2 linked regions of the Tribolium castaneum genome follow. The protein of the gene in region 2 purifies or fractionates together with the protein of the main gene of each other region. This does not show direct contact. Links are inferred from orthologs where the notes say so. Each region holds a gene or a part of one and is shown on either strand. Other genes may lie near its edges.

Region 1 (4,428 bases), on a different chromosome or scaffold from region 2:
CTCACGGACGATGAAAAAATCTGTAGTCAAATCATGTGTATTTTCTTAAAACCTTTATTACATATTATGTTAAAGTTTTTCGTGAAATAATACGAAAGATGTTTACACGTCGCCATCATTTAATAATGGGACGTCTGTTATTATTGCTCGATAGGGGCTAATGCGCATAACGTAATCAATTACGCTGATAATGGGCGTTAATTTTTGTTCTATGAAAAGACTGAAGAGCTGGGTTAAAACTCGTTTGAACAAGTGTGACGGTTTACGTCTCTTCGAAATTTGTGTTTTTTTTTAAATGTGATTTAACCAAGTTTCATTTTTTAACACACGTGTGAAGACTTCCATTTGATTAGTTTATAATTACAAATCACGGCAATTAAACTTTTCACTTTTCGAGTTGAGAGACATCTGGTTGATATTATTACACTTTTGTGATAAGATTAAGAAAAACGTGTTCGTGTCATGATATGCTGCTATTTTATTACATTAATCGAATTCCTAACAATTACCTACCTTTTGTTTAATTAATAATTTCAGAAGATATTATGAATATTGTATTTCCGTGAAAAAATACAATGTTTTTTAGACAAAAAATATATAACCCATGATAATAACCGGTAAGCATTTTATTTAACATTCCATTATAAATTGGTTTCCAATAGAAATTACATTTTTTATTACATGTAAAACCAATTTTCATTTTCCAATACCTATAATTGTGATTATGTAAATTAATTTTTAACAATTTGCCATTTTTATCCTCTATCCACCGCTGTACAAACATTATTTCTGCATGTTATTACTGTCAGATCAGTTTTTGTAATTATCTCTGACCTTTTTCTTACAAATAAATAAATATACACCGTTAGTAATTATTATAACGTTATAATTTAAAACATACATAATAATACCTAAATTAAAAACAGAGACAAACTCTAATTTAAATAATTTTACTACCTATTTATTTGGTAGATAAATGAATAATATTAAAGTAGAGCACAATGTGACACATAATTACAGTTTTAATAAAATTCGCACAGACTACTCTTATGAAACACGTCCTACAGATTGAATAATTATCAAATTATTTCCCTCGTCTTACCTCTGAAATTTTATATAAACATGTTCATTCCAGCACGAAAATGTTATTCAAGAATTACTAAAAATCGTAAAAACAAAAATCTAAACTAGTATTTGACAAAAAAATAATTTGTGGAAATAAACATGTAAAAAAGCTTTTAAAAATGTAATTTGACCATACTGTTTTTTACAAGCTAGGAGAGCAAAATGATGACTTTATTTCGACATAACCTCAAAATAACATGTTACGTAAACAAAATCCAACAACATTTCGTCCATCATAGTCAAAACCACTGATATTTTTAAAGTTTTAATATAAGATTCGAGGAAAATTTGCAACAATATCGGCAACAACGTTCATGGAACATTTCTCGATCCCATGTTGAACATTTTCAATTCAGCTGATCCGCAAAACGACACGCCCACTTATTTATTTCTGGCATAAACAAAACCGGTAGCGTTTATACGAACTGCTACGCAGTTACTTATCGCGTCATTCCGGACAATAATGGCGTCGGTATTTCTCCCCGGAAAAAAAAACAAAACAAAACTCAGGGTAACAATTCTTATCATTTTGGCACTCGTGAGATAACCAAATAAATAGTCCATACCCTAAACCATTTATGCAAACAGTAAATCAACTTTCACGGATGACCTTGAAAAGGCGCGCGTCAAAGTTTTAGAAAGCCCGCATAAAAATCTCGTCACGTGTCGGTTTCTGGTGGCCATTTTTCGGCATTTGTGTTGTGGCAACGTTGCCACACCTTTGTGCATGAGTAATTTGTGGCAGTGGCAACGTTGCGTGTCGACTTCGCTCCCGCGATCTAGCAAGCTAGGCTCGCGATTGGCCAATGAAGGAATCGATAGGCGAGTGGAAGGGCAGGGAACCGGACGTGCGAGGCGCTGCGACCGAAGCGACCCAAACACGAAAGTGCATAAAGCCGAAAATCGGACGCGACTCTTTGTCAGTAAACAAATACAAAATGTTGCATCGAAATTTCGTAATTACCGAAAGGTCGGCAGATTTTCGGCGGAAAAGCGTTGCCAGGCCGACGAAATTTCCACGGAGGGAGAGTGCCGGCCCCCGCGACGGAGGCTAATTTTGGAACGCCGACGCCGAAATCGCGGAAAAACCATGGGAAATGCTGGAAAAGCGGCGCCGAATTGGGAATTGCAATTACACAACACTTGTGTCAATGTGAAAAGTTAAAAATATGTCACTCACCTTACAAAAGCCTCTTTCGCGGAAAGCGCTTCCGTGCGGACTGGTGCCGGGGATGCACCGTACAATTGCAACCGATCCGCGCTGATTTCACTGGGAAATAATTGGAAAACACTAGAATTCATCAAAAGAAAATTCTGACACATTCTGTTCCGAACCACCCGAAACGATGACCGATTGTCGACTGACTGGCTGCTTCAAATCTCCGAGCTTGTTTGGACGAGTCCATCAATTTCGGGTGGTTGGTCGCTTTGCCCACTTTCAAATTTTTCAAGTTTTTGATCACCAAAATGCACAAAACCTACACACAAACATTACGACGTGCCACAGGATGAGCTCCCAATTCCAGAAAAATTACACTTTAGTCATATTGTGGATTTTTTCAGTTTCGGATACTAGCGACCGCCCCTCGAATCAATTGTCTGATCCGTAAAAGGTTTGTTTGATGCTTGCTCTGATAGTTCAATGTGAAGAGAACAGTGGCGCTGTTATCGATTTTTAAAAATACCCGCCAAAGAACAATGTAGTGCCCATTTTCGGATTAGTTGAGCGTGTAGCAGATGTAAAAGTTTTAAACTGACCTCTGACTGTTATTAATCTTATTAAGCCGGACATCAAGATTCAAACTCTTTTTGTGTCTATTAATTATTATTAATAAACTACACCTAAACATTTTTATTACTATTAAAAATAATTATACCTACAAGAAATTAATCAACTAAACAATTTCTAAAAGTATTCGTGCCAATGATTACGTGGCTGCAGAGGCTAATAAAAAATATAAAATTAAATAAAAATCTGAAAACAAGTAAAAAACTTGTCTATGCAATTAATTCATAAATCCACTTTATGTTGAATATACATCCAGTGAACATTACTGCATAACACACACCTCAAGAAGACACATTTTAATTACTAATTATTAATTTAGTCACTCTCTTCGGCAATAAGAACCACAATGAAAAATTAAAAAAATAATAATAACTGAAGTGAGTGTATAAAAATAGTTGAAAATCACATTTTTGGATTCAAAACATCAAAAAAAAACACACACACACACACACACAGTGATGCATGGAGAACATTGGAAATTTAAAACAGGTCATAAATTCCATTTAAAAAATTATGTAGCAATCTGAAACTTGAAACAAATACCATATGCTAATATTTAAGAGCTTTTGAGCTTTTTGAGAAAGATAAGAGTTGAAAAAAAAATAAATTCACTTGGTTTATTGTATTTTGGGTTGCCCACTTCAATCAGTGCTTCTATTCTATGACAGACAATAAATAATTGAAGAAAATGGGGTCACGTTTGTGCTCCGAGTCAAAACGGCTCCAATACACTTCTGATAAACTTGTAAAAAATTACCGTAAAAAACAGAAACATCCAATTAGTTAGAATTCAACCCAAATTAATCCAATTATTATTCCCAATTAGATAATTCTTACAAAAACTAACTGTATTATTGGACCGTTTGGTTATGTATTTTATCGATTTAATTTTACATTATAAAAACCACGGGATTATAACTGTGAAAGATTTTCGGTTCAAATAATTTTCATTACGGGAAATACCATTGGAGCAAATACTATCAGCCATCACTATCAGCATAAGCCCAATTTAGCCAATCAGAAGGTAGAAACGTGTCATTAGAAAATTATGAACGTCAACCAGTTTTATTTTGAAGAAAGCGAGCCGCGAAAATATTATTCTTGCCAGTTTATTCCGAAAAAGTGCAAAATTGTTCTGACAATAAGATGAAAATAACGCTAGTTCTAGTAACACTCTTTTTTTACAACACAAAAGCACAAAAAATTGATGCTCAAGAGTTGAGGTGTTTAGGTAAAGAATGAATGATTTTTGTTGTAATGGTGTTTTGTAATTAGTGATGATTTCCAGTTTGTAAAGTTAGTTTAGACGAATTACACAAAGCTGTGAATAAAATCGATCCAACCAAAACCGTCGACGTTGGGGGTTATAGACTGGACTCTGATGGCAATTATCGACACAAATCAGTTTCTCAAGCCAAGTCTGAGGTTCATTTATCCGAAATGATCGAAGATATTTGTACGAAAATGGACGATTATGTAAGGGCGACGTGGAAATCGAACGGAACTTTAACTTT
Region 2 (3,215 bases):
AGTTGCTAAAATTCCTTGGGCCTCTAACACAACTGGTTGCAGATCAACAGGCGTTTCAGGATGTTGCTGAAACTCTTTATCCTTCCAAGGCGCCTACATGTGTTGGAGGGGGTTGGGCCACCACCATTGGCTGCTCCCACGTTTCCTCCATAATTATATTGTTACAATATTTTGATTTATTTAGCGCAAACCAGCTATTACGACTTCAGATTTCGCTGACCGACTGGAATTAGCTCAAGCGTCACGTTTCAAACTTAAGAAATTAATTGCAACTTTTCATTAAGTTCAATAAAGCCACAAAAGATTAAATCGGACGTTTCCTACAAAAGGATTTTTCTTTATGACTTGAGCCTGATTTATTTGAAACGTCCGCCTTGTGTCGACATTTTTAAGGTTACTAGAGACATTCTTCTGTCCGGAATACTGACAAGTTGCGAAAATTTCGACGGAAATTGGAAATTATTCGTCGTGTCTTTATGGCGGAGGCGCCGGGTTTAGCTCTAATATCTCGCAGACATTGACCATGCTTGTTTTTTTAAATTTATTTTCTTCTATTTATTTGCCAACAACTGGGGTGTTGAGTGTAGCCCCAAAATTACATTTTTTTAATTTATATTTACTGAACGGACCTAAAGTTTAGGAACATTATTTTTAAATTTAAAACATGGAATGCTCACTTTTTTGCATGTTTAACTTTTTATTCACATGCATGTTAAAACTTGGGAGATAAAAATCATTTTAGTTCCAATAAAACTCCTATTATTAAAACTCATACTTTGTATGAGCATTTGTGCATCAATATTTTATGCAAGAGAACATTAAACTTTAGTTAATATAAATTAATTTTTGTGGTACATTTGATTCCCGCAAGTGGTTGATGGTAATAATTAATAACAGAGTAACATAATTTTTTCTTGCTCCTTAACGAAAAAGTGCTGAAACTCTTTGAAAATGGAAAAAATTGTCTTTTGCGGCCCAATTCGATAATTTTTTATTTTGAATTTTGCAAAATAAGTGAGTTTCAGACTGAAAAATGCACTGAAACCTTGAAAATAATGCAGTGGTGAGCTGAATTTAGTAGTTTTTGTGCAAAAAAAAAGTTAAATTTGTGATAATTTTTTTATTATTACACAAATTTAGTGATTTTTTTAGGAGATCAAAGACGAAATTTGGCAAGAATTTAGTTTTTTTGATTATTTATTAAGCAGAACCGGTGCAGTTAGGCCTTAGACAAAATGGTCGTGTAAAAAATTGAGTTTGGCGCGTATCCGTCCTGGGGTTTTTTTCTCCGTGAAAATCGGTAAACAGCGATTGATGTCAAAAATGGTGGCTTATGTTTGAAATATGTGAAGCTGAAGTAAACCTTTAACCTTTTTGTAACTTTCCCCGTTGAAAATCATGTTGAACCAAGTGTCCGTCGAGGCCGTTTATTCCGCCACGTACGTAGAGAACTATTTGGATTGCGTTGAGAACCTCCCCGATGAACTCCAACGCCTAATCTCCAGGATGCGAGAACTCGACGTCTGTTACTTGGGTAAACTTTGCTATTTTCATCCAAAAACCGGCCTCAAGCCGCCCTTTCAGCCCGCGTGCGTGAAGCCGCATACCAGACCGAGAACTGGAAAAAAATCGGTAACGATAACCCCGCCAAAAAGGCCCGGGGCTTCGCCCGCATGCAGCAAGCCCTGATCGCAGCCCAGGAACTGGGCGACGAGAAAATGAACCTCTTGCAGTCAATTCTGGACAAGATTGAGATCAAGACGCGCTTGTTGGACCAGGACTTCAAAAATTTAGGTACTTTTCGTATTTTTTTAATTTACACCATGTCAAACGCGATTGCTAGATTTTGGTAAAGACGAGACGACTCAACTCGAAAACAAGGAGCAACAGCCCCCTAATAACAACAGCAGTAGTGCGGGTTTGGTCGAGAGGCCTCCAAAGAGGGCGCGGCGCACCCGTCATGACACTTTCTCAGGCTTGGAGTCGAATCATAATGATTCAGCCCCAGTGGAGCACGTTTTGAGGAGCCAGGTGCCGTCCACGGCCAACTCGACGAAGAAGAGTGGGACTGGGAAGAAGAAGAAGCGCAAATCGAAGCAAGTGCAAGCACAGAGAGAGGAATCTCCGCCAAGGGAGGAAGAGCCGATTATTGATCCCGATGAGCCCACTTATTGTCTCTGTGATCAAATTTCTTACGGTGAAATGATTATGTGCGACAATGATTTGTGTCCAATCGAGTGGTTCCACTTTTCTTGCGTTACTTTAACCACCAAACCGAAAGGTAAATGGTATTGTCCAAAGTGTAGAGGTGATAGACCCAATGTTATGAAACCCAAGGCGCAATTTTTAAGAGAACTCGAAAAGTATAATAAGGATAAAGAGGAGAAAACATAAGTTTATTGGTGTGTGCATTTTACAGTTCTTACATAGCAATTAAATATAATTTCATAGAATGTTTTAAAATAATAAATATGTCTAACATCTCAGTGTCTGGTAATGTTAACCTAACCAGGAACCTCGAAAAATCCTGATAAAAGAAAACCAAAAATTCCTAAATCCTCCAAACCCGCCAACTTGCAATTTCTAAATTAAAGGGAAAAAAGAAGAAGAAAAACGCAATTTAATATTTTTGTGTGTATTTTACATTTCCGACATAGCAATTAAATATAATTTTAATATTTTAAAATAATAAATATATCTAACATCATTTCTTTATCATAATCCTGTGTGATGCAACTACACACAATATGGCAGTGTAAAATAAAATAAAGTAACAAAAATGTGTAAGTAAAAAATCATCCAATCACCTAACAATAAATAACACTTTTTATAATTTAAAATGGCGTCAATACAAACTATCAGACTTGAAAATCAAACACGCCTAGACTGAGGTAAGCTAAACAAAATGACTACAATTTTATTAGACCCAAACTCCATGCGGGTTTTTATTGGTTGGTACAGCATTTTCCAATTGTCGAGGCGAACCAATCATTTTTCGGGTACTTCCCTTATTAGGACCTTCCAAAATCGCTCGTAAATCCTCAGGTGGCGCTATAGTCAAACTTTGTAAATTCGCCTCTTTCATTTCAGTCACAAGCAATTCCACTTGTTTTTTCTTTTCGATTATTGCCGTCTCAAGTGCGGCAACCTAAAAAACAATAAATTATCAAACAGAGGGATAAAACCACTCACTTCTTTTTTGAGCGTTTCGGCAG

Evidence for each region.
Region 1: the proteins of inhibitor of growth protein 1 (region 2) and Sin3A purify together in Homo sapiens (affinity purification with mass spectrometry; 5 studies listed by BioGRID and IntAct, counting the BioPlex papers as one, with this or other methods). This does not show direct contact. The link is inferred for Tribolium castaneum from reciprocal best matches to the Homo sapiens genes ING2 and SIN3A.

What each region holds. Positions count from the first base shown.
Region 1 is NC_087396.1:24,661,561-24,665,988, forward strand, and holds the start of Sin3A (paired amphipathic helix protein Sin3b), read right to left. Parts: upstream 2,893-4,428; 5' UTR 2,306-2,892; intron 2,226-2,305; 5' UTR 2,090-2,225; intron 1-2,089. Other genes in the region: sel (protein seele), read left to right, coding at 4,061-4,145, 4,203-4,428. UniProt on the Homo sapiens protein: Acts as a transcriptional repressor. Corepressor for REST. Interacts with MXI1 to repress MYC responsive genes and antagonize MYC oncogenic activities. Also interacts with MXD1-MAX heterodimers to repress transcription by tethering SIN3A to DNA.
Region 2 is NC_087402.1:346,808-350,022, forward strand, and holds inhibitor of growth protein 1, read left to right. Parts: upstream 1-1,276; 5' UTR 1,277-1,398; coding exon 1,399-1,534; intron 1,535-1,584; coding exon 1,585-1,794; intron 1,795-1,843; coding exon 1,844-2,394; 3' UTR 2,395-2,486; downstream 2,487-3,215. Other genes in the region: RASSF8 (ras association domain-containing protein 8), read right to left, coding at 2,921-3,148, 3,193-3,215. UniProt on the Homo sapiens protein: Seems to be involved in p53/TP53 activation and p53/TP53-dependent apoptotic pathways, probably by enhancing acetylation of p53/TP53. Component of a mSin3A-like corepressor complex, which is probably involved in deacetylation of nucleosomal histones.